Tamandua tetradactyla: one gene and its partners. The main gene of each other region encodes a partner of the protein of the gene in region 3 in a complex. Links are inferred from orthologs where the notes say so. Each region holds a gene or a part of one and is shown on either strand. Other genes may lie near its edges.

Region 1 (7,667 bases), on a different chromosome or scaffold from region 3:
GTGCTGTGAGGGACACATTCCTTTGAGGGCAGAACATGGCCCGTCTCAGATCAGTGCCGCCCCCAGCACCTCTGCCCTGGGGCATGCGCTCGCAGGCCCTGGTGGAGCAAGACATGGGGTTCAGACTGGACGCGGGAAGGGGGCCAGCGCGCAGGTCGGCATGGGGATGTCAGGGGCTCTGCAGCCTCCTCCCTCGCCAAGCCAGAGAGCCCTTCTCAGAGTGGTATGTGTAGTATATGAAATAAGGTATACCGGACCCATGGAGGAAACGGATTAGACTGAACCAGTTATTGAAATAGTGAGAAAATGGCTCTGTGATTCTCTGTTCACACATAACACAAGGTCCAGGCTAGGCCCAGTGCCTTGGCCACCGCGGCGTGGGGAGCGGCTGGGACCTGGGGTGCAGTGTGGCCTGGGGATGTCCGTGCCTGCGGGAACTGGTGGCCCTGTGCCCCCTGCTGTGCCCTGCTCTCTGCATGCAGCTCCTGGACAGGAGCCCCTGGGGCGACAGGCAGGACACCCAGCGGAGGGGCTGGGCAGTGCGGGGCGACACCCACCTCCAGGAGGCTCATGCTCAGGAAGAACAGCAGCAAGTAGGCCGGGGCAAAGAGGATGCGCTCCAGGAGCAGCCGCCGGACACCTGCCCAGGGGGTCTCAGGAGGGATCCAGCGCTCCAGAAAGAGGTAGAAGAAGTGGCTCAGCGGCCCTGTGCAGAAGAACCTGGAGCCCCCAGTGGGGTGAACTGGTGACCCGCGCCCCCAAACCCTAGGTCCTGCCCCTGCCCCCCTGGGCACCTCAGCACTGACCACTGGGCCTGCATGGGCCTTCTGGACGATGCTTTCCAATACTGCTCCAGGCGTTCTTCCCTGTCCTGAGGAGGCCACACTTGTCCCTGCTTGGCAGCCTTCTCCCTTGCCCTCTCCTTTGCTGGTTCCGTACCCTCCAACTGGCAAGGCCTGGCTGCTCCCCACCCTTATCAGCTCCTCTCCCCTCTAAGGGAGCCCTTCCCTGAGGGTCCCAGGCTTCCCGGGTCCTGGGCTGTGGCCACCTTTGACCGTCACATCTGTCAGGAACAGAGGCGTCTCCTCTGTAGAAGGAAAACTCCGCATAGGCAGGACCGCGTCTTGTCTAGCACACTGCTCCTGGCCGCCGTAGCCATGGCGCCTAGACGGGCCCTGGCTCACAGAAGGCGCTCACACTAAAGCCCTAAGCGGAGCTCTTAGACTCTTCAGGTAACTAGCAAGGGCAACACCTGGAGCTGCACAGGCACCACTGCTACCTTTCATTCCACAGGACGAAGGGCACTGGGAAGGGAATGAGTCCAGTGCCTGGCCTTGTGGGGTGAGGGGCCTGCAACTCCAAAACATTCAGCAATAAAAAGGGGAGCAGGGATCCAGGACTCTTTCAACTTCTGACACTGAAATGATCTTTAAACAAGTGATTCACAGTTGTTTTTTCCCCACTATAAGACATTAAATGCCCAATAGCAGTGATTCTCAGCAGGGAAGAGAAATAAAATGTTGGGGATGAGAAGACTATGTAATTGGATAATTCCTTTGGGGTGCTTCTGATACATTTGCCCTCCCTGGAGAGTTTCTGCATTAAATACATGAGGGGAGAGACACGAGGACTGACATTAGTGTGCTGACAGGCACACAATGGTACTATGAACTTTGAATTTTAAAGAATCCCTCCAGATGCAGAAGACTTCGTAACAACCACTGAGCACACTCTTCTCAGACAGAAGCTCACGGTGGGTGTGGCTGGGTAAGACTCCCGAATCTCTGCTTTTGCAATTCAGAAAGTGGCTCACAAACTGCAGAATTTCAGAGGGATACCCAATTCTTTTCTGGTGTTTACACCATGAAAATATCGGCCCTATCTGAGTTGGTTTCACTCTCCCACGAGCCTAGGATGTTTTCAGGGTCTCTCAGTCTTGGAGTCTGATTTTAGGTTCTGGAGAGCTATGTTGTCCGTCTCTCAGTCCATTTTAAAATGCCCCCCACCCCTAGCCACCCATACAATTCAAAATAAAAAAGCATACTAAATTACAAAGTAAGTGAAGATAACTCCAACACCATTCTGATTTTTCCCATCATGATTACTTCAATGCTTTTTAAAAAAAGATTGCTTTTTCAAATTAGATGATTCAAAAAAACTGCTTTGTTGATTCTTAGTCTGCTTTGGTATAAACCAGCTTTATTGACACTCACCCATAAATGGCATATCTGAGAGGCCCAATGACATCTACATTTTGGGAACGTTTTTCTTTTTTCTGGTTCTTCTCAATTAGCTGAGCCAGGAAGTTCCCAAGTGCTGACAAAATGCCGCTGCAGACAGAGCAATCAGAAACCAGGGCAGTCAGTCTGAGCGCCCCTTCTCTGCGGGCATATTCACAGGTGCTCGGGGACCCTGCACGGGTGGACCGAGACAAGTCTTTAAACAGGCTGTCAGGTGGGCCACGGGGGCTCAGCAGGCAGGAATGCTTGCCTGCTAGGCCAGAGGACCCGGGTTCGATTCCCGGTGCCTGCCCATGTAAAAAATAATAAACAGGCTGCCGTCAAAGTTCCCTAAATGGAGCACAGGACTTAGCAAACGCACATGCACACACACACATACATGCATGCAATGTTCACGCACACACATGCCTACGGGGAAAACTGGAGAAATCTGAGTAAGGCTGGTGCCTGTACCCATGTGTGTTTCCTGGTTGTGACTACACTATATGACAGTACACTACAGCTCAGCAAGAGTATCCTGTGGTGGCGGGAGGGGAGGAAGGCGAATGTGGCTCCCCAAGGACAGCAGGAGAGTCCTTGAGATGATGGAGCACTTTCACCCTGCCTGTGGCACAGGCCGGAGCTGCTGGGCCCGCCTCCTCCATGCAGTAACGGGGCGCTCTGTGGGCAGCACTGTGCCAGGATGCAGCGGTGACCCTTACCTCTGACCTGGGCCTTGCCCCCCAGGCCCCTTCCCCGTGCCCCATCCCCTCCCCAGGCCTCACCCCTCAGTCCCCTGCCCTATGCCCCCCAGCCCCTCCCTGGACCTCAGCTCCCAGGCCCCCTGCCCGGCGCCCCCCAGGCCCCCTGCCCTGTGCCCCCCAGCCCCTCCCTGGGCCTGGCCCCCCCAGGCCCCTGCCCTGCACCCCCAGCCCCTCCCCGGGCCTCAGCTCCCAGGCCCCTGCCCTAGCCCCCCAGCCCCTCCCCAGGACCTCAGCTCCCAGGCCCCTGCCCTATACCCCCCAGCCAGGCCCCTGCCCTATACCCCCCAGCCCCTCCCCGGGCCTCAGCTCCCAGGCCCCCTGCCCTGCACCCCCAACCCCTCCCCAGGCCACAGCTCCCAGGCCCCTGCCCTATGCCCCCCAGCCCCTCCCCAGGACCTCAGCTCCCAGGCCCCTGCCCTATACCCCCCAGCCCCTCCCCGGGCCTCAGCTCCCAGGCCCCCTGCCCTGCACCCCCAACCCCTCCCCAGGACCTCAGCTCCCAGGCCCCATACCCCCCAGCCCCTCCCCAGGACCTCAGCTCCCAGGCCCCTGCCCTATACCCCCCAGCCCCAACCCGGGCCTCAGCTCCCAGGCCCCCTGCCCTGCACCCCCAACCCCTCCCCAGGCCACAGCTCCCAGGCCCCATACCCCCAGCCCCTCTCCGGACCTCAGCTCCCAGGCCCCTGCCCTATGCCCCCCAGCCCCTCTCTAGACCTCAGCTCCCAGGCCCACTGCCTTGCGCCCCCCAGCCCCTTCCCGGACCTCAGCTCCCAGGCCCCTGCCCTATGCCCCCCAGTCCCTCCCTGGACCTCAGCTCCAAGGCCCCCTGCCCTGTGCCCCCCAGCCCCTTCCGGGACCTCAGCTCCCAGGCCCCTGCCCTATGCCCCCCAGTCCCTCCCTGGACTTCAGCTCCCAGGCCCCCTGCCCTGCACCCCCAAGCCCCTTCCCAGGCCTGGCCCCCCAGGCGCCTGCCCTGCGACCCCCAGCCTCTCCCGGGACCTTAGCTCCAAGGCCCCCTGCCCCGGGTCCCCCAGCCCTTCCCCAGGTCTGGCCCCCCCGAGACACCCGCCCCCGGCACTCGGCCCGCGCACCTCGTGGTCGCCTTGGTAAGCACGGGGTAGAGCCGCAGGAGACGAAGGTACCCGGCCAGTGCCCGCCGCGGGAGCGTCCCGAACCCGGCCTCGCCCCGCAGCCTTGAGGCTACCGGCGCCATCGCCTTCCCCGAGTTCCCTGCCACAGACCCGTGGGGTCAGGGTCCGGGATCCGGGTGACAGACGGAGGACGGAGGGGGGGAGGTCAGGGTCCGAGGGGAGGAGCGGGGGTCATGGTCCTGGGGTCAGGGCCGGGGGTGGTCAATGCCGGGGGCGGCGGGGAGGGGCCAGGGCCGGGGACCGGGCGGTAAAAGGGCCTGGAAGGGGCCCGAGGCGGGCGCGCGCCTGCGCACACGCCACTCCGAGACCCGCGCGACCCCGCCCCCGGGCGCGGGGGGCAATGGGAGCGCCAGGGGGCAGGGCGCGCCGCGGCTCCTTGACTGGATGGTTCCGGCGTTGCCGGGCTCTCGCGAGAGCTGACGGGAGCGCGCCAACTTTTCCCCGGGAAAGTCTGAGGCGCGGGCGGAGCGGCGCGATGGTTCTGCCGCACGGCGGGCGTCGGCGCGTGGAGCCGGGCGCGGACGGCGAGGCCAGCCGGTGAGGGTCGACCCCTACCGGGGCGCGGCGCGAGGAGCGGCGGGGCGGCGGGGCCGGGGCTGCGCGGAGAGACGGGGCTCGGCCCTGGTCTTGGACCCGTCCTCGCCCGAGGCAGCCGCCCCGCCGGGGAAGTGGACAGAGTGCGGGGCCCGGGCGGCGCGGGGCGGGAGGCCTCCACGCTTCCGGGGCGACCCCGGGGCTGCCCCCGACGAGCCCGGGTTTCTGCCCTGCGGTCGCTGCTGGAGCGTCGGGGCCGCACCCGGTTCCCGCGCCTCGTCTCCGCGCCCCGGTCCCGGCAGCCCGCACTCCTTGCCGCCCCGGGATCTTCTCGGCATCGTCTCGCCTTGTCCCGTTGTTTTCTTCTTTAGATACTTGTCCTTGGGACCCCCTTTTTCCACAGCTGTGTCGGGATCTTCCCCAGAACCTGTAAAACGAGAATGAAGTCGGGTGGGAGGGCGGAGGTGGACGAGAATGGCGGGACAAGGCCGGGGGCCGGAGGGCGCCCCGAAGCCCAGCCCTGCGCGGACAGATGGGCCAGCAGCTGGGCTCCGTGCTTTATTCTCGTTGGTCGAGTCCTCGTGAAGCCCCAGGAGACAGATGCCGTGATTGTCAGCGTTTTGTACTTGAACCTGGGGTTTGGAGATGTGAGGTTCATACCTGCAGGCTGTGGAGAAACCTGTGCCCTTAGCGCGGCCACCCGGCTCGCGGCTGCTGTCCTTTCAGCAGATGCAAGGCTCTCCTAGGAATGAAACTGCTCTTGGGTGCTGCAGCTGGGGTCTAGACGCTCACTTAACCCTGACACAGCCGAGGAGCTACGAGAGCCCCGTGGGCAGTGGGCAGTGGGCAGTACCCTGGGCTCAGGCTGGTCAGGGGAGAAGAACGCAGCACAGACCACGCTGTCACGGGAAGAGTAGTCAGTAAACGGGAGACATTATTTTGTTACTATTATCCTGATTTCTTAGCTTTTGTAGGAGTCAGAGTTAGCAGTTTTTGAATCCACTTAATTCGACTCACTTGATGTGAGGAGAAGACATGGGTGATTCGGAGGAATGTAGTGTGGGAGGCTTATTTCAATCATGACCTAGGCCTCAGAATGAGCCTGAGTGCTCAGCAACGTTTGGAATACACTTTTTCTGGGTTTACAGGTGAATCTCGATATTTTAGAGATTGAACAGTCATATAGTATGCTGAAGGTTTTGTTCCCCATTGCTGCTGTGACAGATTACCACAGGGTTAGCTGCCGACGTAATACTGCCTCTCCTTGTAAGGCTGTGAGGTCACAGGTCCTGCTGCCAGGGTGCAGTGGGCGCATGCCCTCTGGGGCCGCCCCTCACCTCCTCCAGCTTCCACAGGCCACTGCGTTGTCGCCTTGTGGCAGACTCCATCCTCAGAGCCAGCGGCGTAGCACCTTCCAGTCTTGTCCTCTGGCTCTGGCCCTTCTGCGGACCACTGTGGTCACATTTAGGACCCACCCAGATAATCCGGGTTATTGCCCCATCTCAGGATCCTTAACTTGATCCCATCTCCAAAGCGCCCTAGCCGTGCAGGGGCACGTATTCACAGGTGCCAGGGATTGGGAGGGGGCACCGTTTTATTTCCCACAGGCGGTTGTACTCTCGTGATGTAAGGGCCCTAATCTTGGAATATGGTCATTCTGCTCTTCAGTGGAGGGGACCCAGGTTTTCTTAAGCAGTTCTGTGTCTGTTTCTGTTTATAAATCAATAACAGGTGAGATATGTTATGGTAACTAAGGGCCTGAATTCTGATCAGATTTGGTTTTTATATATGTCCATAAATTTTCCTTTCCTGGCCCCTGTTTTGGATATTTAGCTTGTTTAGATTGCTTCGTCTCTCCCCGTTATAAATAAAGCTATGATGAACATCTGTATATTAAAAACAAAGCTTTTCTGTACATCAGTTTCCCTGGCTTTGGAAGTAGCATTGCTGGGTTAAGTGGCATCAATATCTTAGAAACACTCTCACCTTGCAGAGAAATCTAATAGTGCTCAGATGGACTGGTCACATAGCTTCATCAAAAGAATTGTGGTATCCTAGGAGCGTTGAAACACACAGCAAGAGGCTAGAGTCTGATCCTGGGAGATGTGGGGTGGCAGAAGGGAAGGAATAAATATCCATGGAGAGTTGGGGAAGAACTGTTCTTTGGAACAATGTACTGCCCTTTGGAAGAGCTCTTAGGGAAACCGTCAGGAAAGCAGGCTGGCACAAGTGGGAGCGGGTGTATCTACTTGTGCCTGTGAGGCCGAGGCCACGAGCAAGTAGAGTGCACGCACCACCTCTCACCCCCCGGCCGGCACTAATTCAAGACCCGTACATGTTCCCTCTGCCGACTGCTTTATAGAGTAGCTCATGTATTTGTATTCAGACAGAAAAGCCTGGGGTATGGATTCTTAGCCATACGTTTTTGAGGAGTGGAGAATGTAAGTAGGAAATAAATAGGGCTTCTGCCCAAAATGTATACGCTTTAGAATCTGTAATCTTGTCCATTAGATGGGATCACACTGTAGAGTTAGAGTATGAGCAGTTTGGTGAGATTCTAAGGTCTGAAATCAGAGCAGATTTGAATAGTTCTGGGATCAAAAGTCTTCATCCAGGTACTTTATTTAAAGTTTGTGCTAAAAACTGTAAGAAGAGCTATTAGAAGAGCCTAACCAGAGAGAAGCTTGAGAAGTTTGAGACGGGTATATTGATATTATAGAACTGAGAAAGGTAAATTTCCTTGAGAAATAGTTCTTCTCTCAGAACAATTCTGTATCTCTATTTTTTAATCCATGTTCAGTTTGATATCTAGACCCTAGCATCCCAGAAGGACATACTGCATTTTTCATGTTTAGTTCTGCTGCAACCAATGTTTCTGTAACTCCAGTTAGCATGCAGTTGTAAATAGGAGAATGATGTCAGTAAAACCTGGAGACTGTACTGGTTCATTTGTGATTTTTCCTAGGCAAGGGGAGGCAGGGAGGGACCAAAAGAGAGGG
Region 2 (7,296 bases), on a different chromosome or scaffold from region 3:
AGCGCTGGTTCTGAGAGCTTGGCTTGGCTCTGAGACCCTGAAGTTTCCTGGTCCATCCTAGTCTAGATGGCATACTCAGGATGGAGTGGAAGAGCTTGCACAGTTGTTCTATAGAAGAATTTGAAAATTAAATCTGATGAAACATCATCATAATATCCTAAATATTCTCCTGAATTAGGCTTAATTTAAAAAGTACAGCTGATTGTAAGCCGTAATGGGATAACTGATGATATGTAGCCATTTTATTGGCTAAATCATTTCATATAGCAGTTTAATCCATAACCGAAGTGCTTTGGTAACTTTCATTCATATATTTAAACACCTGAATTCTTAGGATCTCCTCTTTTTAAAGTAGTTCCTAAAGACCATACATAGCTCATAATCATTCCACTACTTCCTGAGATGAAGAAAATCCAGCTCTGTAATCTACGAAGCTAAAATGCAATCTACGGGAGATTATTTAGGGGAGCTTTGGCCCTACAAGATTGCTAATCCTGGTAGTTCATAAACTGTTCCAAAGTCTACAAGTCCCAAAGATTAGAGGGTAGAGCAAGTTCAATGCGTGGCAAGTTCAATTGATCAGTTTCCATTGAGAGAAAGCTAAATAAATGAGAGGAAATGATCCAAAGGGATCATTACCAGAATCTATCTCATTTTCAGGCTTTAATAATTTATAAAAGTCAGTCACATTTCTTTCATACTTTCAACATTCCCTGCCATTAAATGAAACAAAACAAACATACAAACTCTAAATTAATTGCCCAAGGCAGTGATTCTGAAGGTTGAAAGGATGGTATTCCCCTTATGAGAGTTACTAGAAACACTTGATTGGAATTTTCAAAGGATACTTTGCCAGTGTCTGATACAACTCTGTAGGCAGGGGTCACTTCCAGGTGAGTCACTGCTGATGAGTCATTCATTCAGTAATCTTCTATTACTAAGTGCCAGACATTGTACCACAGACTGGAGACTCAGGGAACAAAAGCAGAGACACTGCCTGAAAGGCGTTTACAGTCTGGGGTGGCAGGGAAGGGGAGGAGACAAACATTAAATAATCACACTGGCAAATGCAGGCTTGCATTCAATGATCAGTACTAGGAAAGGTGCTCAGTGGTAGGAGGGATTTAACCTGTCTGAGGGAGAGTGGGTTGAAGAAGGCTTCCATAAGGAGGTAAGGCTGGGATTTGAGGAAAGGTGAGAAAAGTTTTCCAGGCAGAATTGCTGAAGAACTGAAGATAAAAGCTATGTGGATAGAGTGTAGAGAGGGGAAGATGTACGATGGGGCTGGGGTGGGGGGTGGTGAGTTTTGGGGGGGATGGCTAGAAGGAGACTGACCATGCAAAGCCTTGACACCCACATTGAGTTTGTATTATTTCAGTCAAAATTGGGGGGGGGGGGGGAATTGGGAGAACTGCCTAAACAATTTCTTTTAACGATGAATTGAGTAAGAGTAATCGTTTCCTTTTTATCTTTTGTTTTTCCTTTTATTTTTCTCTCTGTGAGTGTCTGAGCATTCCTGCATTCCAAGGTTTCTGTGGCCAAGCTCCTTTCCCTTTCCCTTTTTATACAGTCCTATGGATTTTTTTTTATCTACCATACCCTCTGTTTCCTTGTGATTTTTAACCATTTGACCCTCAAACGTGTGTGTACACACAAATGCATATACAATAATATACACATATGTACATACAACATGCACATATATACAATTATTTTTTAAAAATAATTCAGAGATGAAGTGTTACCAGTGTCCTCCACATACATATTTCCTGGAAGAACTCTTACCCCAGCAGGGTAGATGGTAAGCTGTCTTTAACCACTAATTTATTACATAAAATGCTTCACATAACATTTTGTTTTTGTATTAATTTTCCTCTTGTAGCCTTTTAAAGACATTTTTAAACTTTCATTCATTAGAACTGATATGCAAACATTTTATTTTCTTTCTTGGCTTTTTTGACCTTTGTTTTCCTGTTTCTCCTGCCTTTTTTGCCACTGAAATTCAAAGACAGAAAATATGATTTCCCTTTTGAAGATACCTTAATGCCTTTCAGGGCTTGGTCAGGAAATCCTGAGTGGTCTAAATGAACCTCTTTTTGTTATTATAAAACCTGGGAAAGGAAGGTGGGACTGGGCCAAGTGTGAAAATGTTCAAGTGGTGAGGCAAAAGGTGGCATGGGGGGAAGAAAAGGGAAAATGTGAGTAACAGAGAAAAATGTGAAGAAAGAGTGATGGAAGGGAGAAACCTTTAAAAGCCAACTTAACTCACTCCCTACCTTAAGTCCTAACTCATCCTGCCCCCATGATAGTCAACTCTATTTTGCCAACTCAAAATTTTGGCTACAGTTAGTAATTTGTCCTTTGAGATTGCTGAACTGTTGCTCCTGTTAAGTGCTCTACTGAAGATACAAGAATCCCACCATGCCTTTATGGATCTGGTATGGAGCTTTCCATGCATTGTAGTGCCCACAAACTAACCTGATGACGGACTCAAGAGAAGCCTTAAAGTAGGCTCTAGTGAAATTTTCAGTGACTCAAGACTCCCCTTCTGCAGGTTTTAATTCTGGGCCATGCTGTTTGCTGTACTGTAGCGGAGCCTCTCTGTGCTAATTCAGCCACTTGCAGGGTTTACCACATAAATTTTGGAAAGGAGAGTGATTTCCAGTATCATTTAATCCAACTTCATTTGGGTTTTAACCACATTCCAGCTGTGGGTGAAAGATCAACTACTCTGCCTCAATTTCATCAACAGTAAAATGAAGTTAAAATATCACCTGTCTCAATAGGGCATTATGAAAATTATGTAAGGAAATGACTTAGCACTTTTAACCATGCACATAGTAAGTGCTCAAAAAAATGTGAGCTACTACTGTTAAAACTGACAGATTAAACCTGATATTGTAGATATGAACTATTCTATGCTAGTGTGATTTGTCATGGGTCTATGAAGTCAGAACTATTTTTTGAATAACGCTAGGAAGAAATTTCTTTTTTATTCTCGTTCTCTCAAGATGACAGTATTTTTCCAGAGCTACCCGAAAAGTGAAAACGGGAACATATTGATAAAAAAGCAGCTATGAAAATCCAGTTGTCTATTGAGACAGACAAAAACCTAAACCGGATGCCACTTTTCTCATTAAATTCTTTATTTTCGAAGTTACTTGTCATAGCATGTTACTTATGTTAACTTGAAATGGGATTATTATTTTAAATGAGTTAACATTTTAAAATCGTTTTATTCTCTAACGCCCATAGACACAACCTATTGAAACAAAAGCTCTTTGAGGTCCGCAATAATTTTTAAGTGTGTAAAGAGAACCCCGAAACCAAAACGGTGATGAACCAATGCTCTGGCGCAACCCATCATCAACACGGCGGCCGCCCGCCCTCACACCTCTGCGCTCTCCAGCCTCGGCGACTTTCTCCTCGGCAGGGAAACAACTTCTTCCGTTTCTGCAAGCCAGAGCCAGAGCCAGAGCCCCACCCCTCCCGTAAGAGCACCTAAAACTTGGCTCTCCCCGAGCCGGCTCCGGATCTCGCGCCCTCTTCGGCACCCCCGGCCCCGGATGCTGCGCGCGCCCGGGCACCCCGGCCTCCCTCCGGCATTTGCTCTGCCCGCCGAGGGTGATTGCCTCAGCTGAAACCCTCTCAAGGGTCGGGTCTGGACAGCCCGGTCCGATCATCGATTTTATTAAAGGACGGTACCTAACTAGGCTCGGCCGCACCGGAGGGTCCCTGGAGAACGGCCACGGAGTTACCGGGGGCCCAGCGGCGGCAAGGTACGGGACAGAGTTCACCCACAGGCTGCACACTCCCTACCGGCCCCCGCCTACCCGCCGGGCTTTCCCCGGGCCCCGCCGCGAGAGGGGAGGGGCCACGTGCCCTCGGGGGCGTGGCCTCCGCCCCGCGCGGGAAAGGGGCCGGCGCCGCGTGCGCGCGCATAGTCGGTGGCCGCGCGCAGCACGCTGGGGGCCGGGATGGCGGCGGCGGCGGTGGCGGCGGCTGGGAGCGGGTCGCCCCGGGAGGAGGAGGGGCCTGGTGGGGAGGCGGCGGCTTCACAACCGCCAGCCCCGACGAGCGCGCCTGGGGCCCGTCTCTCGAGGCTACCTCTGGCGCGAGTGAAGGCCTTGGTGAAGGCAGACCCCGACGTGACACTCGCGGGACAGGAGGCCATCTTCATTCTGGCGCGAGCCGCGGTGCGGTGCGCCCCGGGGACTGTGTGGAGCGGGAGGGCAGTGAGGGGCGGGGCGGGGCGGCTGGGCGAGGCTCAGCAGTGGGGGGCGCTGCCAAGTAGGTGCTGGGAGACCGAAGGGAAGGGGCAGATACCTACAGTAGTTGTGTTGCTTTGTTCATACTTGTGGGCATAGTCTTTAATTTGCTTTTTCAGTGCCTAACAGAACTTGTAGGAGTCACGGGTGGGGTGAATTTACAAGTAAGGGAGGAGGGCCGCGTCATTCTGTGCTGCTAAGGGAAGGGGGAGGAGAGGAATAGACCTTTATGACGTCCAGAAGGACCTTTAATTCCCATGAGAACCTCCCCATCTATTCCCAGAACCGCTTCTTCTCCGTCCCCCGCAGGAACCTATCTGTTCACCGCAATTGTGCTGGAATCCACTGATAAACTCTTGTTTGTTTAACAGGAACTGTTTGTGGAGACCATCGCAAAAGATGCCTACTGTTGTGCTCAACAAGGAAAAAGGAAAACGCTCCAGAGGCGAGATCTGGGTAGTGTGTCCCTGTGGTACCTGGGAGCGAACAAAGGAGGTTGGCCCAGGTTTCCCCATTCACTGCTTGAGGGGGCCTCGCTGTGCCGCTGTGCGGTGAGGGTGCCACAGGGTCTCTCACAGTGCTGTTTCCTGTGGGCGTGCCGTAGTGCCTGAAGGCTCTACTTGAGAGTTTGTGGGCATTGGGTAGCTGGAGGGGCAGAATATGAAAGGAGGTAGGGGTCTCCAAAGCAGGCTAGGCCCCTTCACACTCTGCCCCGTGGTATCAGGCTTGACATGTCTTTTTCCGTAGAAACTGTAGGTTTGATTTCTGGCTCTTCTCTCTAGCTGGTATTGTACTGCCCTTTTACAAACTTTCATAGATCATTTGCTCAAATTTCTTTGATGACTTTCAGAGCAAAGGGGATAAATCGATTTAGGTTTAAACCAGGAGTGTACTAAGGACCTCTTTCACCTTCCCCCAGTGAACAGCATATGCCCTGACTTTTCTTACTCTTGTGGGGAGACAGTTGATGTGTAGGAATTGATGGTGGAGCAGAAATGGATCTCAATGCAGGCTCAAGACAGCAAGGGGCACATTTTATGAATGTTCTCTTTTGCGTAAAGCTCATGCCCTTCATTGTGTGGATTGTACCGTTTTGGGCTGAGGTTCAAAAGACCTCAATTAATCAGGTGTCTCTTTTCCTTGTTTTTCAGATAATGCAATAGAAGCCGTAGATGAATTTGCTTTTCTAGAAGGTGAGTTCTTCTATCAGTGGGTAATCAGTTTCTTCTGTTCTAATGATCTGAGTTCACAACCTTACAAATTGAATGCCTGATTTGTCCTGTTTGTGTTGGGATAATTCTTTCTTCCTACTTCCTATTAGTATAGGAGAAACTAACTTGCTTAGTTTTCCTCCTTTGGGGAGTTAGAACTTCTACCTGAAAATTGCTAGCCATAAGGAAATAGGAGGGAATAAAAAAAACCCCATGAATGATGGATTCAGAAACTTGATTCCTACTTTGGTTTCTATCCCTAGATAGAAATCTTTCTCCTCATCCTCATGTTAGAGATAAACAACTGCCAACATTTAAAGGGCAACTTTTTTGTTCCTTTTTCTTCTTCAACAATCTGTGTAAAAAACATTTTTTTTTTGTATGCAATGAGAGTCTGTATTTCACTTTGTTCGTAGGAATTTTGGGTTAACTCATGTATACTAACTAAATCTTGTCATTGAAAAAGTAAACATTTGAAGCATCTCAGTTTAGCTACCTTTTCTCAGAACTATTTCTGTTACTTAATTCTTAAATCTGATTAGTTTATTTTTCACTAAACAAAATTCTGATTGAATAGCTTTTGGAAAGCCATGTGCCCTCAGTTCATTCTCCCTGCCGTGGTGTTCTCATTATCTCCTTTAAAATTTACTACCTTCCAGAAACCTTTTCTTGATTTATTTATTTCACTTGTTTTTTTAAAAAACTCCTTTCTTCTCCATCTCCATATTTACCTAGACCCCAGGCCCTTTTCATGTATCTTTTAAATGTCTTCTGGATACTTGCGTTCTTGCTAATTCCCATGGCTATCTTCAAGACTAGATGAATTTAACTGCAAATTTGTATATTAGTCTTTAACTTCTTTTTCTGCTCACTCATTTTTTCTTAATTTAACTTTAAAAAATTTCTTAATTTTTGTCCTTTTAGTTGCCTACCTAAGGCAGTCAGCTTCCTGTGAAGTTCTCCAATCAAAGATTTTGGAGCCTGTTTTACCTGTTCATATTTAAGTATCAGCCTCTTAAAGCAATAGGTGATATGATCAAAGTTGAGTTTTAAAGAGGTACTGCTGCTTCCTGGTGGACAATAAATTGGAGGATGCCAGGAATAGAAGTAGAGGGATCTTAGGTGATTTTCTACCCCACACTTCTCTGTGGCTCTTGATATCCAAATCTGCCTCCTCTTTGCATTCCATGGCCAGTGTCAGCTACTAAGGAGTTTATTCTTCTCTTCCATAGTATGGGGCAGTTCTTAATGTGCCATCTAGCATTTACCTTGTATTGTTTAGTTGTTCCGTGTATAATTGGTATCCTCTTATAGACTCCAGCCTCCAACGTGAAATAGTGCCTAGCCTGAATTTTTAATAAATGGCCGTTTATGGAGTATTTGATGTGTATCTTCATCCTCCCCTCCACTAACCTCAGTAATTGAATCCTTTTTCTCGATTTTGACTGTTTTAGCGACTGTGGACTCAATCTGTATGTCTGGTAAAATAATGTTCTTATGTCCTTAGATGTGTTTGTTCTAAGTAGATAATTCTTTTTCTCTTTTTTGGTCAAGGTAATATATATCTATGTTTAAAAAAATTAATGGATTATGAAATGAAGCTGCTAGCTTCCCCCCACTCTTGGTGTTCCTACTTTTAGCTTTTCAGGTGGTTATTTAAATTTCTAAATAGTATGCTTACCCCTTGATTTTTCAACTGTAGCCATTATTTATTGACTTCTTGCTAGGATAGATGGAGACTTGGCTAACCTACACCATCCAGTAAATTCTCTCCCTCCTTTCTGATTTGGTAGTTGTATCACTATTTTTAGTTCCTT
Region 3 (8,328 bases):
TTTCTACTCCAGCTCCCCAGCCTCATCTAACCACTCTACCATTCCTATTCTATGTTCTATACTGAACTACGTGCCATACCTGAAGTGCTCCCTCCTGCCTCCAGGCCTTTGCACATACTAATCCTATAGTTTGGAATTCTCTTCCTGCCCTACCTCCCACCTACAACCCACTAGGCTGCTCAAATGTTAGGTCTAGGCACAGATGTTACTTCTTCAGGAGAGTACCCTGAGTTAGGAATCCTACCTGTGTGCTTTCACCCAACCAGGGCACACTCATCATGTAAAATGGTCCTTGCCTATTTACTTGTCTGCATCCCTAACCAGGCTGAAAGTCCCTGCATGGTAAAGACTGTAAATTGTTTAATGCAGTATCCCCAGTGCCCAGCACAGAGACCTCAACTAAGACCCATTTATTAATTGAATGAGTGACTAAAGAATGAAGTCATGGCTTCTGACTTCAAAGGGCTTAAAATCCAGCTGGACAAATAGGGCATAGGCATAAAAGCATAACGAAGCATGTCAAGGGACAAATGCTGGAGTAGTTTGGAAGAGAGAATACCCAGGACTAATGGCAAATGATGAAATTCAGTCTTGACAGAGGACTTATCCATTTATTCAGCAAACACTTATTGAGCTCCCACTATATGTTATGTGCTATTAAAGACACAGAAGTAGAACATGGTCTTTCCTCTTGCGGACCTTTCATTCCAATGAGGGGAGACAAACAATGAACATGCAAACAAATCAACAAAAAAATTTCAATTCATAAGAACTGAAGAGTTAAAAAAGAAAAAAAAAACAAGGTTTAATGATAGTGAGGATAAGGGAAACTTTAAATAGGTGATCAAGGAAGGCCTCTGTAAGAAAGCAACTTTTAAGCTTAAGCCTGAATGACAGGAAGGAGTTAGCCAAGCAAGGATCTAGGGCAGTGTTTCTCAACCAGGGGCAATTTTGTCCCCAGAGGACAATGTCTGGGGATATTGCTGGTTATCACAAACAGGGGTGGAGTACTATAAGCAGCCAGTGGGTAGAGGGCAGGGAAGCTGCTAACATCCTGTAATGTACAGCACACCACCACACAACAAAGAATTACTCAGCCCAAAATGTCAATAGTGAGTCATTGAGAAATGCTAATCTAGGGAAAAAGTGTTCCTCTCAGAAGAAACTGCAGGTACACAAGCCCTGGGGTGGGAAGTGTGGAGTGTACAAAAGCCCTGGGGTAGGAAGTGTGCAATGTCTGAGGACTAGAAACAACACTGTGACTGGAGTCTAATGAATAAGTAGAAGAAGAATACAAGCTGAGGGCCACAAGAAAGACAGGACCTTATAGGGTCTTATAGGTCATAGCAGGGTGTTAGTGAAGCAGAAAGGGGCAAGAGTCTTTAAATTTCCAGGAACGGCATAAACAGCATCAGAGTGAGAAAAGCAGAATCAGAATATCAGTTTTGCTCTGAGGTGCCAAAGAAGACAGACTCTGTGATTAGAGGAGAGTCAGATGGTAAAGAGTCTTCAACTTCAGAATAGGAAGGTTTGGATCTCTTCTATAATAAATGAAATGCTGATGAACAGGGTTTTTGAGCAACAAGATGATATGAGGACAGCAATATTTTGGTAAGATTAATCTGTTGGAAGTATGTAAGGTGGTTTCGAGGGGAAGAACCAGGGCGGCCAGTTCAGAAGTGACTATAAAAACCCACACGTGAGGTTACAAGGACCTGGTTTAGGATAGAAGGAATAAGACTAGCAAGTGAGAGATACTAAAAGAAGAATGCACATAATCTAGGAGCTGACTGGATGAGGCAACTCTGACACAGCTTTATTCTACACACCATTAGCATGGAGTCGGGTGGAAGTATGTACCTGTGTATGGATGTAAAGCACATTACAGGTTCTGGCTGGGAGATGCAGCTATTTTCCCGGGACTTGAATCCTAGAGAACCTGAAAGTAGCCCTACCCTTTCCTATTTCTCTAGCCAGAGAGAAATCTCGGGCTGTTTAAACAGAACAGGAGAGAAAATAAAAATAAAAATAAAATACACAGAACAGGATAAAAGAAACCACTATGAGAGTCACCACTGGTGATTCCTGGCTGGCAACAGGGTCTTCAGATTTTTAAAGTCTAAAGTTTCCATAGACACCTGTCCCTTAGCTTCAAATAAGCTCCAATCGTGTGCCTATATGAAGCACCCAACTCAATAAGCACTAACTGGGTACCTAGACTTGGTAGGAGGTTCCAAGAAAAGCCATTCCTTCTGCTTTGAGGAGCTTACAAAAAGTTTTATGCTTAAAAAAAAAGATACAAAAGAGAGTATGTACGGACACAGTATTCTGGTGACCTATAGCAGTTGATGGGATAGCTACAAATTAACCAACTCCTAGAACACAAGTAGAAATGCTTTATTTTTATTTCTAACTCCCTATTCACCACTTCTGTGACTGAACTAGGGTTTTCTTTTTAATCTAGTTTTCTCAAATTCTTCTGTATCAGTAACGGAAGTCACAAACTAGAATTTTGACATAGTAGGTTTCTAAAGGAAGATTCCATGAAAATCCACCTGCCTTGAAATTTGTAGTCAAACTTCAAACACCGAGACAATAAAGTGTGAGTCTTAACGAAGGTAAGTCCTGACAGATGACGGTGAGCACGTTTCTTAGCCCGCAAGCAGGAATTTGAGACATTTACAATGGTGAGAACTGGGAGTTTTTCTGAGAAAGCAGACCAGAAGAAAACAAATGATATGTCACCTGGATAAAAGAGGCCAAACAGGAACAGGTGAAGGACCTTGTGAGGAAAGAGACAGGCTGACTGATTCACCTTCAGTGTTCAGGAGAGGTTTGCAGGAACCCAGGATTCGAGGATGACCCCTCTCGATCCTGCGGATAGCTTCCCAGCATTGTGGATGCTGACAAACAGGCACGTTACAGGTGGTTTCATCCCATTGGCTCTCATCTGGCAAATTCATAGCTATGAATGGTATGGAATAAAAGGCAACATTGCAGCTTTCTAACTCTCTGGAGAAAACAACAACCACATAATTAGGGAGCATTATACATTAACCAGACAGTTTTCACCTTAATTTGAACTCAAAGAATAAAGTATTTCTAGTCAACCTATAAAGGTAAATGGTGGTCAGAGGATAATTAAGAATTGAGAAAAAAGCAAGTATAAAAACATCTTGGTATGAATTAGAGTTGAAGAAATTGGAAGCAGATTGACTTCAGAAAATCTCCCCATTGCCCATTTAACAGTTGAGTGACTTGGGACTTTAAAAATCTGAGCTTTCAGTTTCCTCATCTGTAAAATGAGAATAAGCCTATTTCATAGGGTTATTATAAAAATTAGCTAGCAGATGTTAAAAGGTCTGGCATATGACTCAAAATAAATAGTAACATCCATTCTTTTTTCCCTTCATTAGTCATTAGGAAGAAGACGCAACCATCTACAAAAAAGGCTTTTCAATTTACAACTAATATAGTCATAGAAATGCCCTCGGTGGCTCAAAAACACAAAGAACAACAACATTTCCTTTGGGTGACATGCTTTATTCTTCAATATGCTCCAGTTCCCATGCAGGTAGCCCAAATACCAACCATCAACGGATGGATCTGCTCAAACAGCAAATTAGTGGATTTGATGCAACTGCATCAGAGGCCATGTATTTTATAATGGCTTTATGGTATTAGGCAAGTGATTCCAGTTCTTTAAGTCTGTTTCCTCATATAAAATAGAGGGAAATAATCCCTGAGTAGGATAGTAGAAGCTTTAAATGAGATCATGTACCTTTATGTATGACATATAACAGTTCAACAAATATCATCTTCTCTCTCTAGAGAAATTCTACACAATCACTACCACTTTAAAACCCCAACAACTATAAGGGCAGTGCTCATTTTTTCTTTCTTTTATTCAACACATTTGACTATTGAATATTTGAGGGACCTGTTCTGGACAGGGAGAAAAATAATGAAGAAGATAAAGTCCCTGTTTTAAAGAGTTTATAATTTAGGCCAGTGATAGCAAACTCTTAGCCTGTAATTTCGCCTGAGTTGTTTTGTTTGGCTTGCTCTTTAAATGAGACAATATTTAAATACTGAAGTAGTCCATAATATACAGATTTCTGGCTCCTCTTAAAATTAAATCAAAATATTTGACCACACTAAGCCCAATTCCAATACCACGGTAATTAGCTAGGGCTAATTAGTCCAACCTCTTTAAGCCAGGAGTGCTATAACCATGTGGACAGTTCCTCGCCAGGTCCTATAGTCTCTAACTGAAGCAATTTCAGTTGTCATTTATCATTGTGTTTGCTCTGCCGGTTTTCTCATAATAGGAAAACTCTCCTCTGTACCCTCGTCTCTGTCAAAAGCATAATAACAAAAAACCCGACTTGAGAGGATAGCATGCTTCACCAAATAATAATAAGCAAGCATTAGTTCTCACTGAGAGTGAGATCTATTTCTACGTTTTTTAACAGGAAACCTTAAATTTCATGTTTAAGAAAATTAAAGATAAAATTTAAACCGCCACTATAAAACCATGGTAATGTTCTTGACTGGGAAAATGTACGATGAACAATTTAATGTACTAAAGAACCAATACAATTTTAACAGGTTTTATTTTCGAATGCTAAATGCCATGTTGCATCTTCATCACACCCAGTTGCTTCACACCCTTTGGTTACCTGCCCACCCTGAACTGAGCCCCCGAGGTCTAACCATACCCATCTCTCTGCCATCAACACTAGCGCTGTGCCGACAAAGTGGTTGGCGCTCAGGAAAGCCTAGATAACAATGATCATTAATATGATTATTACAAAATTGCGCGAAGTGAAAAAATTAAAGATAAACGTCAGCTACGGTAAAGTTGGGAAAATACCCTCCGCTTCGTTTCGGGAAAAGGAAGCGGCCTTCGGAGGCCTGGCTCCGCTGGCCCAAAGCCGATGCCTAGCCGCTAAGAGCCCGAAACTCGGTGGAATAACGCAGTACGGCGCCGGGCGTGGGTAGGCCCCGCCCAGGAGGCTGGGTTCACAACTTTTCCTCCCGCGCCAGCCCCCCGGTCGGGCCGTCGCCAGGCAGCGGCGCGGAGAACTATGGGGAACGGACGGAAGCCTCAATGACCCATCCTCAATTTGGTGTGAAACCTCCAGACTCGGTGATGGTGTGAAACAGAGAAACAGAACAGGGGAGGAGGGCGCAGGGCACTATGGGGCCTGCCGGTAGGTCCGGCGAGCCCAAATGACTGCAGAGAGAAACTTTCGGAAGCTACGGCGACCTGACATGGAGGCGTGGCTGGGGTAAGTGGGTGGGTATGACGCGCAGAGCACTATGGGATACAATGTGGACCGTGTGGGGCGGAACGGAAGCCTGGGTGGGTCAGACAGCAGGGACGCGGGAAGCCTGGACGCAGTAGCACCCTGAGGAAAACTGAGGTGGAGGCGCGGGCCCCTGCGGCGGCCATGGCGGAGAGGCCTGAGGACCTAAACCTGCCCAACGCTGTCATCACCAGAATCATCAAGGAGGCGGTGAGCGGGCGGGCCGGGGCGGACGAGCGGGAAGGAGGGAAACAGGTCTGGGCTAGCATCTTTGCTCACTTCTCCCTTCTCACAGCTCCCGGAAGGTGTCAACATCTCCAAGGAGGCCCGGAGCGCCATCTCCCGCGCTGCCAGCGTCTTCGTACTATACGCCACGTCGTGGTGAGCAGAAAGAGCTAGCCAGAGTACAGCTAGTGCTGAGGCATTTAGGGAGATGCAGAGAGACCCCCCTGGCTCAGATTTAGCGTCCCGGCGCCCATAAACCCCAATGCTTGGGTGCTACCTGTGAACCTGGACAGAGGTTCACGACCCTTACCCAGTTCTCACAATCTCTTAAATAACTTCGCATTAGCCGTTTGGTACAGGGAAGGGAGAAACAAAAAGTCATGCATCTTTAACGTAGGTTTCCTCACTCACTTCAGGGTGCTCGTTTTCCACCCACTTCATGCGTGGCAAGAGGGGGTCTGACAGCTCATTTTCTTCCTGTCCTCCGTTAGTGCAAACAATTTTGCTATGAAAGGGAAGCGCAAGACACTGAACGCCAGTGACGTGCTCTCGGCCATGGAAGAGATGGAGTTCCAGCGGTTCATTACTCCCCTAAAAGAAGCTCTGGAAGGTAATGACCCTTCCTTTTTTCAGCCTCTTAGAAGATGATCATCCATGGCCCTGAGGCTTTCTCAGCAAGGGTACCTTTTAAGTCCAGCAAGGGAATACTGGATGTGACTTGGAACCAGTTCAGTTGGCACCATCTCAGATCTGTTTTGTGATGTTGGGCGGGTTATTTTTCCTTCAGTGCCTCAGCTTTTCCAGCTGTGGAATGGAGTTAGCAGCCGAAGTCTGGTTTACTCTTCCAAACCTACCTCTTAACCGCCTCCTTCCTCCTTGCAGCCTATAGGCGGGAACAGAAAGGCAAGAAGGAAGCTTCAGAGCAAAAGAAGAAGGACAGAGACAAAAAGACAGATTCAGAAGAGCAAGACAAGAGCAGGGATGAGGACAACGATGAAGATGAGGAAAGACTGGAAGAAGAAGAGCAGAATGAAGAGGAGGAGGTGGACAACTGAAAGGGGTGGGGAGATGGAGGCACCTTGGAAGGTACCATGCTGAAACTGTGGTACATGTTTATGTGAAGCTTCTCCCTGCTGGGCAGAGTACTCTTAGGCTGAAGTGCCTAAGAAAATTGAAATAAAACTGACTAGAATTATCATTAAAACCAGGGCTTCCTAGACTCAGAGCATCTTAGTATCAGAATCCTGTTTTGTTTAATCAGTCTGAAGGTTATGACTTTTTTGACAAGGGGAATTCTGACCAGCTAATTGAATTAGCCAATTTGATCTCTCATGTTTAGTTATATACATGGTTAGGCCATTTTTGATCCTCATTTCCTCCTCCAGAAACAAAGTAATGATAACTTCCTTGCTGCTTGCTGTGTTCCAAATCACAGAGGTAGTTGAAGCTCAGGAAATCTTTGGGCTTTGAGTATGATAAGCCTATGTTTGAGATACAGTATTTGGCAATACCAACTTATTAAGAGGGATCAGAATGGTGTGACTTTAGGAGACTAAAAAAAATGGGAGAAAAATGAAACTGGTTCTGTTGTTTCTTCATTTGACAGTAGCATTAGTTGATTCTTAGTTTCTACAGACTCACTTGGCTTGGAGCCTTTTTGCATTGCCTATAGGCATTCGACTTACTGGGTTGGCTGTACTCTGGACATATATGCTTTCAAATTAGCAGTATAGAGGATAATTAACCAAGCTAGGGTGCCAGTGTCTTATTCTTAGCACAATAGATGGCTTAGTTTAGGTTACACCTCACTGCCTGCCACTATACAACTTGAGGATTTCTCTTCACCACCTGGAAGGTGTAAAATTCCAGCCTTTCTCTTACAGTCTATTCCCAGACTTGTGACTATGCCTTTCATTCTTTAATTCATGACAAGTTCCAAACTTCATCTCCTCTAGGTACAACTTTCTTCCTCTGTTTCTTTTTTCTTTCTCTGTCTCTCTTTCTCTATCTCTCCTCCATTTACCATTTCCATGTTCTCTCTCCCTCCTTTTCTCGCATTTTCTCCAATTTTGGAACTTTGATAACCTGCTTAATATCCAGAAGTGCAGGTTCCTCTGATTCCTTAGTTCTAATTTCATGTCTTTTAAAAATGATTTTGTAAAACCTCTCTGAACCTTAAAGAAAATCTGATGGTGCTCAGGAATCTAATTCCCCCCCCTCAAAGCGTCTCCTTTTAACTACTTTTTTTTTCCTTTTAACTACTTTTAAAGTATCTCTGTTGGTCTTTCTTAGCTTTTTTCTCTTTCCCTTCAGTGCCCCAAGCACTTTTTTGTTTGTCTCTGACTTGAATGCTTAGAGTTTGATGGGTAGTGAAGTGTAGGTTGGCATTGTTAAATGAATATAGTAAAAGGTTTCTTGATAAATGAGTGAAGAGTCTTGAAAAAATTATAATGCATTGTATAAATAAAATAAGGTTCTTATTAAAAGTAATGACTTCTGTTTCATCCTGCTTGTTTTTCAAAGTGTGCTTTTGGCAACCCACTGAACATGCCACATACAGTTCTGGCATGTGGGCTGGGTCAGACCTTTGTAAACATGGGATCCTGCATCACCTTCAATGACCAGCAGATGCTGCTCTTTCGTAGGCAAGGGAGCTGCTCTTTAGTCAAGGCAAGAGCTTTCACTGGCTCCTCTGCTGGACACCCTATACCATACTAGATTGTGAACAACTCCAGACATTTATTGAGCTCCTACTGTGTGCCTGGGATTGTTATAAGTGCTTTCAGGTATT
Region 4 (8,229 bases), on a different chromosome or scaffold from region 3:
TTGGTCACAAATTCTCTCAGTGACTTTTTGTCTGAGAATGCTTTAATTTCTCCCTCATTTTTGAAGGACAATTTTGCTGGATATAGGAGTCTTGGTTGGCAGTTTTTCTCTTTTAGTATTTTAAATATATCATCCCACTGTCTTCTAACTTCCATGGTTTCTGCTGAGAAAACTACACATAGTCTTATTGGGTTTCCCTTGTATGTGATGGATTGTTTTTCTCTTGCTGCTTTCAAGATCCTCTCTTTCTCTTTGACCTCTGACATTCTAACCAGTAAGTGTCTTGGAGAACGCCTATTTGGGTCTAATCTCTTTGGGGTGCGCTGCACTTCTTGGATCTGTCATTTTAGGTCTTTCATAAGAGTTGGGAAATTTTCAGTGAAAATTTCTTCCATTAGTTTTTCTCCTCCTTTTCCCTTCTCTTCTCCTTCTGGGACACCCACAGCATGTATATTTGTGCGGTTCATATTGTCCTTGAGTTCCCTGATCCCCTGCTCAAATTTTTCCATTCTTTTCCGGATAGTTTCTGTTTGTTTTTGGAATTCAGATGTTCCATCCTCCAAATCACTAATTCTATCTTCTGTCTCTTTAAATCTATCATTGTAGGTATCCATTGTTTTCTCCATCTTTTCTACTTTATCCTTCACTTCCATAAGCTCTGTGATTTGTTTTTTCAGTTTTTCTATTTCTTCTTTTTGTTCAGCCCATGTCTTCTTCATGTCCTCCCTCAATTTATCGATTTCATTTTTGAAGAGGTTTTCCATTTCTGTTCGTATATTCAGCATTAGTTGTTTCAGCTCCTGTATCTCATTTGAACTATTGGTTTGTTCCTTTGACTGGGCCATATTTTCAATTTTCTGAGCGTGATCCATTATCTTCTGCTGACGTCTGGGCATTTAGTCAGATTTCCCTGGGTGTTGGACCCAACAGGTTGAAAGATTGTTCTGTGAAATCTCTGGGTTCTGTTTTTCTTATCCTGCCCAGTAGGTGGCGCTCGTGGCACACGTTTGTCTGCGGGCTCCACCAGTAAAAGGTGCTGTGGGTCCTTTAACTTTGGAAAACTCTCACCATTGGGTGGTTTGCCAGCCGAAGTGGATTGGAAGAGTGCCAGCCGGTTTGGGGGTCCGAACGCGGGGAGAGTCGCCGGCCGCCGCAGCCTGGGAGAACGCCCGTCCGAATTTCCTAGTCGGCCCGAGGCGCCAAGCGTGGCGGGAGGGCGCCAGCCGCCGCAGTAGGAGGAGAAAGGGAAGGATAAGATGGCGGATGGAGCGCCGCCGGAGCAGAAGGGGATAGAGAAGGGTAAGATGGTGGCGGGAGCGCCGCCGGCGGAGAAGGGGGAAGAGGAAGGCTGGATGGCGGCGGGAGCGCCGCCGGCGGAGAAAGAGGGAGAGGAGGGCTGGCTGGCGGTGGGAGCGCCGCCGGCGGAGAAAGAGCGAGAAATCCTTTTTTCATATATATATATATATATATATATATAAACATATTTATTGATAAATCTTAAGATACAAACATACAAACATTCCTTATATGGTGCACAATCAATGGCCCACAATATCACATAGTTGTGTATTCACCACCGTGATCTTTTCTTAGAACATTTGCATCACTCCAGAAAAAGAAATGAAAAAAAAACTCATACATACCATATGCCTTACCCCTCCCTCTCATTGACCACTAGTATTTCCATCTACCAATTCATTTTAACCTTTGTCCCTCCTATTATTTGTTGATTTTTTATCTATATTTTTTACTCATCTTTCCATAGCCTAAATAAAAGGACAAGCAAACACAAGGTTTTCACAATCACCCAGTCACATTGTAAAAGCTATATGATTATACAATCATCTTCAAGAAACAAGGCTACTGGAACACAGCCCTACAGTTTCAGATGCTTCCCTCCAGCCACTCCAATACATATCCATATAAAGGGATATCTATATAATGCATAAGAATAACCTTTAGGATAACCTCTTGACTGTTTGAAATCTCTCAGCCACTGACACTTTTTATCTCATTTCTCTCTGCCCCTTTTTCCTTTTTTAAACTTTTTTAATTGCATAGTATAACAAATATATGAAGCAAGCAAAAAAATAAAAAAGCAATAGTTTTCAAAGCACTCTTCAAGAAGTAGTTACAGGACAGATCCCAGAGTTTGTCATGGGCTACCATACGATCCTCTCATATTTTTCCTTCTAGCTGCTCCAGAACATAGGAGATTAGAGGGCTTAAATATATTTTTATCATCACAATCGACTTTTTTTCCTTCTTTTTTTTTTGTGAAAATAATATATATCCAAAAAAGCTATAAATTTCAAAGTACAGCGCCACAATTAGTTGTAGAACATATTTCAAAGTTTGACATGGGTTACAAGTTCACAATTTTAGGTTTTTACTTCTAGCTGCTCTAAAATACTGGAGACTGAAAGATATCAATTTAATGATTCAGCATTCATGTTCATTTGTTAAATCCTATCTTCACTGTATAACTCCACAATCAACCTTTGATCTTTCCATATCTCTCTTTACGGGTGTTTGGGCTATGGCAATTCTAAATTTTTTATATTGGAAAGGTCTGTCACTAATATGGGATAGGGAGATGGAACTATCTGATATTCCGGAGAGGCTGGGCTAAGTTTCAGGACTTATTTGGACCAGGGACCCATCTGGAGGTTGTAGGTTTCTGGGAAGTTACTCTAGTGCATGGATCCCTTGTGGATCTTATATATTGCCCTAGGTGTTCTTTAGGATTGGCTGGAATGGTCCTGGTTGGGGGTTGGCAGGTTACAATACATAGCAAGGTCTAACTGAAGCTTGTGTAAGATCAACCTCCAGGGCAGCCTCTTGACTCTATTTGAACTCTCCCAGCCACTGACACTTTATTAGTTACACTTCTTTTCCCCTTTTTCGTCAAGATGGAATTGTTGATCCCATGGTGCCAGGGCCAGATTAATCCCTGGGAGTCATCTCTCACGCTGCCAGGGAGACTTTCACCCCTAGATGTCATATCCCATGTAGTGGGGAGGGCAATGACTTCATTTGCAGGGTTGGGCTTAGAGTGAGGCCACATCTGAGCAACAAAAGAGGTCTTTCAGAAGTTACTTTTAGACATACCTATAGGTAGGCTAAGCTTCTCTGCTACCTACACAAGCTTTACAAGAGTAAGCCGCAAGATCAAGGGGTTGTCTTGTCGATTTGGGTGTCCCTAAAGTTTGACACAGTATCAGGGGATTCCCTGATGGTAAATTTAAATATTTCCATATTTTTTCTCCTATCCATCAAGGAACTTTGTTAGGCCTAATTTTAGGTAGGCTTAACCTATCCTTTGGCAGTGATAAGTTTCATAGGGTTGAACCCCAAGATTGAGGGCTCAAGACTATTGATTTGGTTGTCTCCACCGCTTGCGAGAATATCAGAAACACTTCAAATGGCAAGTTGAGTATTTCCTCCTTTTTCCCCAGTGCCCCAAGAGGGGGTGGTCTTGCAAATACTTCTTTATTCACTGCCCAAGTTACTCTGGGATATACTGGGGGCATCATACTAACCCCGACAAACCCATAATCACACTCTAGTCAAGAGTCCATGTACTCACTGTGCTCAATTAAGCTGACCATACAAGTGAAATTAGGAAATGCACTACCCAAATATAAATTTTGCGCAAAATAAACATCTCTCCCTTTGGTCTCAAACAGAAGTTGAAGTTTTAAAATATGGACGATATTATTCTTTACCCTATATCCTGATCTACCTCAGTCCTATCCAGATCTGCTTCATTCATAGCTCTGCTGGAAGTCAGACCCGTTTTCCAACTTTTTAAAACAATTCCTGAATAGGATACTGCTGGTTTTCATAGTTTCAGAGCTCTAATTTTGAGACTCAGGTGTCACATAAATACATAAATACTCAGGTGTCACATAACGTTTCTGGGAATGACCAGGTTATAAAAAACAGCTCAGTATGAACAGAGGAATCCTTCTGTAACTTAAGCCATAACCATCATTCATGTAATAAAACTCTGCACCAGTTTCCCATTTTTCTTAGAATGAAATCCAACAGGGAGCAAGCAACCTTGGCTCAGTGGTGGGGCTCTCACCTGCCATGCCAGAGACCCAGGTTCAATTCCCGGTGCCTGCCCATGTAAGAAAAAAAAAAAAAAAAAGGACAGAGTCTAGACCCTGACTACTTCTGGGATCACATTTAGCACACCTGCGGTGGTCTCTCTTCGCATCATTAAAAGGTTAACTCCCACCTCAGGGGCTTCGCATTTGTTGTTCCTTCTCCCAGGAAAGCGCTTTCTCAGACATTGCTAGGGCTTGCCTTCTCTCTTCCCCAGCCGGTAAGCCTTCCCCACCACCCTGGATAAGACAGTATTCCCCGTTAGTGTGTCTGCTGGCACGGCTTCGTTTTCTTTCATGGTAATTCTCACTACCTGACAGTATATTATATATTCGTTTATTTTCTGTCTTTTACTCTACAATGTAAGCTTTAGGAAATGCGCTGCTAAGAACCGGGGTTTGAAACCTATCCTCACCTACTGGCACAACTCTTACTTGGCGTTCAAATCGGGGTCGGCAGCACCCTGCCTCCCCTCGGGTTCCTGAGAGGGGTGAACACCCCGCCCCCACAGCTCCTTCTAGAGTAAAGCCCAGGATTCCGCCCTGGCTCCTGTAAAAGTGCCTCTCACCCCTCCGTTCAGGGCCTGTCCCGTGAGCAGGCTCCAGACTCGCCCCCGCGTACTCCAGGCGCTGGCGGGCGCTCTCTGGCTGCGGGCACGCCATCCCCGCGCTCGACCACCAGCCGTGAGGAACGCGGGAGAGCCCCAAAGGGGAAGGTCCAGGCGCGTCCGCGGACGCTCCGCAGGCACAGTCCGCGCAGGCGCAGAGGCGCGGCGGGCGCGGAGCATCACGGAGCCTGTAGTCCGCTCCCGTTCCGCACCTCCCCGACACTACAACTCCCACGGGGCAGCGGGACGCCGGCTCCGCGGCCCCAACTTTGTTTGCCAGCCACGTCGCTCGCGGCGGAGGCGGCGTGCCTCGCGGTTGGGTCAGCCGCGGTTACCGCCTGCGGGGAGGGGGCGGGAAGATGGCGGATGTGGTCGTTGGTAAAGAGAAATGCGGAGAGCAACGGCTGGTGTCGCTGCCCCTGTCCCGCATCCGGGTCATCATGAAGAGTTCTCCCGAGGTGTCCAGCATTAACCAGGAGGCGTTGGTGCTCACAGCCAAGGCTACGGTGAGGCTGCGTGCGGGGAAGGAGTGAGAGGCGGGGGTGGAGACCGCCCCCTAACCGCCGCGCCCCGCCCCGCTGGGTCCCGCTGTGCTGTCCGGTTCTCTTCGGCCCGCGCGCCGCCAGCTTCTTTGCGCGGGCTCGCGCGCCTCTCCAAGTTGCCTCTGCACCCGCCGGCGCGCGCCCCGGTGCCCGCACGCTCCGCCCACGCCCTTCCCAGCTGCGCCCAGCTCAGCCCGCGGGGCTGCCACCCTCCGTCGCGCGCCCTCCCGTGCCCTCCCGCCAGCGCCCCGCCCACCGCGCTCCCGGGTTTCTTGGGCCCTGGGCCTTCTCGTGTCCGGGTATTCCGAGCCGCAGAGCTGTTACTTGCCGGTGTCCGCTCTGTTCCACGGTTCTGGAGCCCCACCTCCCCCTAAACATCCGTGAAATGCCCGCGAACCCTTTCTCGTACCGTGGCGGCGCGCTTGGGCGGTCCTCTGGCATATTCCATTGAGCCGGCCCCCAGAACGCAAGTCCTCTGGGAGAGAAACTAAAAAGTAAATAATTGAAACTTTCTTGCCGCCCGGAATCAGAGACGGAGCGAGCAGCGAGTTCTGGGAGCCTACCTGCTCCCCAGATCACCCCACATCTCCTAGGCAGAACATCCCACAGCTTAATTTTACAATTTATCCTAGTGCTCTATTCCGTGAAAAATAGATGAGCTGCTTGTGGTCTCCGAACACTTCCTGTTCGGAGGCTGGGCCGTGCCTCAGCTGTAGTATTAATTGCCTTAACTTGCCTTACTTCCTATTTCCAGTCCCTCTGGCTCGGGACACGGTGTCCCTACAGTATGCTGGACTAGAGCTGAGAGGCGGGGGAGGGAAACCACAAGTTTCGTACCTGTTTTTTGCCAGAGCCGTAATTACTCAGAGCCCAGGAAAATATTTGCACATTCCACATGTAATATTGGGATTTCGATGTTTTCTTGTACAATTTCATCTGTTAGTATTAAGGAGCCAAGATTTAGGCAGGCATTTCTTTAATCCCTTATTAAACGAACTAGATGAATTAAAATATACGAAATAAAAACTGAGGGAGAGAGGTTCAGTTCAGATTGTTGCTTTAGGTCAGTCTGTGGATTATGTATGTGTTCCTGGCATAAGGAAAATGGTTTAGGCAAAATGAGGATGTGCCAGTTTTGAGCTTCAAGTTGCTGACTTTATTATAGATCTAGTAAGCCGGTAGAAACAGTGCATTTAGATAGATGACTAAAAATGTGTCCTTGACCCAAACACTTTTTGAATGTCTCATGCTCCTTCCTTTAGGTGTAGAGATTGGTCATTAAACGTTTATGATTCATCACTTAATCACTTCTAAATATTTTTTGTAAGTTAGAAATGTAAACTAAATTTTCAGGAAGTGCCTGCTTCCCCATTAACTTTGATAGGGTCTTGCGTTCTTTCTGACCTCATGTTTCTCTTTTCCCCAGTGATTTCCTATAATTGAATTTGAGAAACCAAAGTAATTTTCAGTCATCTAAACTTAATGTAATTAAAAAGTTAAATTTTATCTATAATAAGTTTTCAAAGCTTACTTTCATTTTACTTTTTTGTTTTGTTTAAGGAACTCTTTGTTCAGTATCTTGCCACCTATTCCTACAAACATGGCAGTGGAAAAGAAAAGAAAGCACTGACTTACAGTGATTTATCAACTACCGCAGAGGGATCGGAAACTTTTCAGTTTCTTGAAGGTATTTAGCCTTTGAAACATTCTGGTTAAAAAATGCTTAGTAATTTACAGCTTTTTTTTTTCCTGTTCTGCTTTCACTGAAATAGACGTTTTGGTGCTTTCTCCAGGTGCCAAAGTTTACCATGACCTGGCACAAGAAGACGTTTTCAGTCTTCTGTTTGAATATGTTTGTTATGTGGTTCTAGACCAATAATGGAGTCAACAGTCTGCACAAGAATGTGTGGCTCGCCGGGTGGGTGAGCCTAGCAGACCCCACCCCCTCAGGATCCACCCTGCTATGGAAAGGGATACTCAGTATGGTGTTCTGAGTTCCAGAACAGGGAAAATAATATTTGCTGCTGGGTAACAGGACTGTAGCTAAAAAGAGCTTAAGTCTGCCTTTGGGTCCACCCAGCCCATCTCAGGTAGGTTGGGCAGGGTCATCAGCATAGAGAAACACCAGGGTATGTGCTAGAAACAGGTCATTGGCACCAGTCAGGAGGCAGTGCTAGTTTCTCTGATGTTTCACCTACAAACATAGCCTCAATTGTCCTGTTTTGAGACCTATTCTAGAGGTCAGTGCAGGAACTAGGACATTTTGAAATTTGCATCGATGTATTCATATCCATATGAATACCATAACCAATTGCTGACGTAAGCTTTATGTTTTTAAGATATATTGCCAAAGAAGATTTTAGCTAGTAAATACCTGAAAATGCTTAAAGAGAAGAGGGAAGAAGACGAGGAGGAGGAGGACAATGATAACGAAAGTGACGATGAAGCCGAATCCTAAACAAAAAATAAATGCTTTAAAAATCAGCCTGGTGAGGACCCTTCTGGATTAGCAGCACTGCTCTCCAGGAAGCCAAAAAGCCTGTGGGACTTTCGTCTCTCCACTTTTCAGAAACTTCAGGTAGACTGTGTTCTTTCCTATTCTTTCCCTGTTAAGGGAGGGCATCTAATGCACCCACTCTGTAAGCAGCCAAAGGCAGAGGAGCCCAACAGCAGCGTCTCTGACAGAGGGTCCCAGTCATCACCAGCAAAGGCAGCTTTGCTTTTTAATTGACAGATGGATTTTGAAGACTTTCTAAGTATCAGTTGTATAAATTCTTATATGTATATTTTGAAATTAGTTCTGATAAACAACTAAGACTCAGTTTTAGCTAAATGTATAGTTTTGGGGCAGTACATTAAATTTGAATTTTTGCATTTCAAGGTTTGTTTTCCTATTTGTTCAAATATTGACCCCCCTTTTACCATAAAGTAATAATACTTTTCTGTTAAAGCTCTGTATATATTTTT

What was found.
Region 1: POLE3 (region 3) and POLE share a complex: the UniProt entries of both Homo sapiens proteins name them as parts of the DNA polymerase epsilon complex. The link is inferred for Tamandua tetradactyla from reciprocal best matches to the Homo sapiens genes POLE3 and POLE.
Region 2: POLE3 (region 3) and POLE4 share a complex: the UniProt entries of both Homo sapiens proteins name them as parts of the DNA polymerase epsilon complex. The link is inferred for Tamandua tetradactyla from reciprocal best matches to the Homo sapiens genes POLE3 and POLE4.
Region 4: POLE3 (region 3) and CHRAC1 share a complex: the UniProt entries of both Homo sapiens proteins name them as parts of the CHRAC ISWI chromatin remodeling complex. The link is inferred for Tamandua tetradactyla from reciprocal best matches to the Homo sapiens genes POLE3 and CHRAC1.

The regions. Positions count from the first base shown.
Region 1 is NC_135331.1:1,212,273-1,219,939, reverse strand, and holds the start of POLE (DNA polymerase epsilon catalytic subunit A), read left to right. Parts: upstream 1-4,629; 5' UTR 4,630-4,671; intron 4,672-7,667. Other genes in the region: PXMP2 (peroxisomal membrane protein 2), read right to left, coding at 558-720, 2,214-2,330, 4,075-4,196. UniProt on the Homo sapiens protein: Catalytic component of the DNA polymerase epsilon complex. Participates in chromosomal DNA replication.
Region 2 is NC_135343.1:48,888,387-48,895,682, forward strand, and holds the start of POLE4 (DNA polymerase epsilon subunit 4), read left to right. Parts: upstream 1-3,972; 5' UTR 3,973-3,977; coding exon 3,978-4,196; intron 4,197-4,639; coding exon 4,640-4,724; intron 4,725-5,419; coding exon 5,420-5,461; intron 5,462-7,296. UniProt on the Homo sapiens protein: Accessory component of the DNA polymerase epsilon complex. Participates in DNA repair and in chromosomal DNA replication.
Region 3 is NC_135328.1:33,728,396-33,736,723, forward strand, and holds POLE3 (DNA polymerase epsilon subunit 3), read left to right. Parts: upstream 1-5,324; 5' UTR 5,325-5,456; coding exon 5,457-5,522; intron 5,523-5,607; coding exon 5,608-5,693; intron 5,694-6,028; coding exon 6,029-6,147; intron 6,148-6,419; coding exon 6,420-6,592; 3' UTR 6,593-8,023; downstream 8,024-8,328. UniProt on the Homo sapiens protein: Accessory component of the DNA polymerase epsilon complex. Participates in DNA repair and in chromosomal DNA replication.
Region 4 is NC_135332.1:87,005,103-87,013,331, reverse strand, and holds the start of CHRAC1 (chromatin accessibility complex protein 1), read left to right. Parts: upstream 1-4,950; 5' UTR 4,951-5,079; coding exon 5,080-5,226; intron 5,227-6,822; coding exon 6,823-6,949; intron 6,950-7,601; coding exon 7,602-7,720; 3' UTR 7,721-8,229. UniProt on the Homo sapiens protein: Forms a complex with DNA polymerase epsilon subunit POLE3 and binds naked DNA, which is then incorporated into chromatin, aided by the nucleosome remodeling activity of ISWI/SNF2H and ACF1.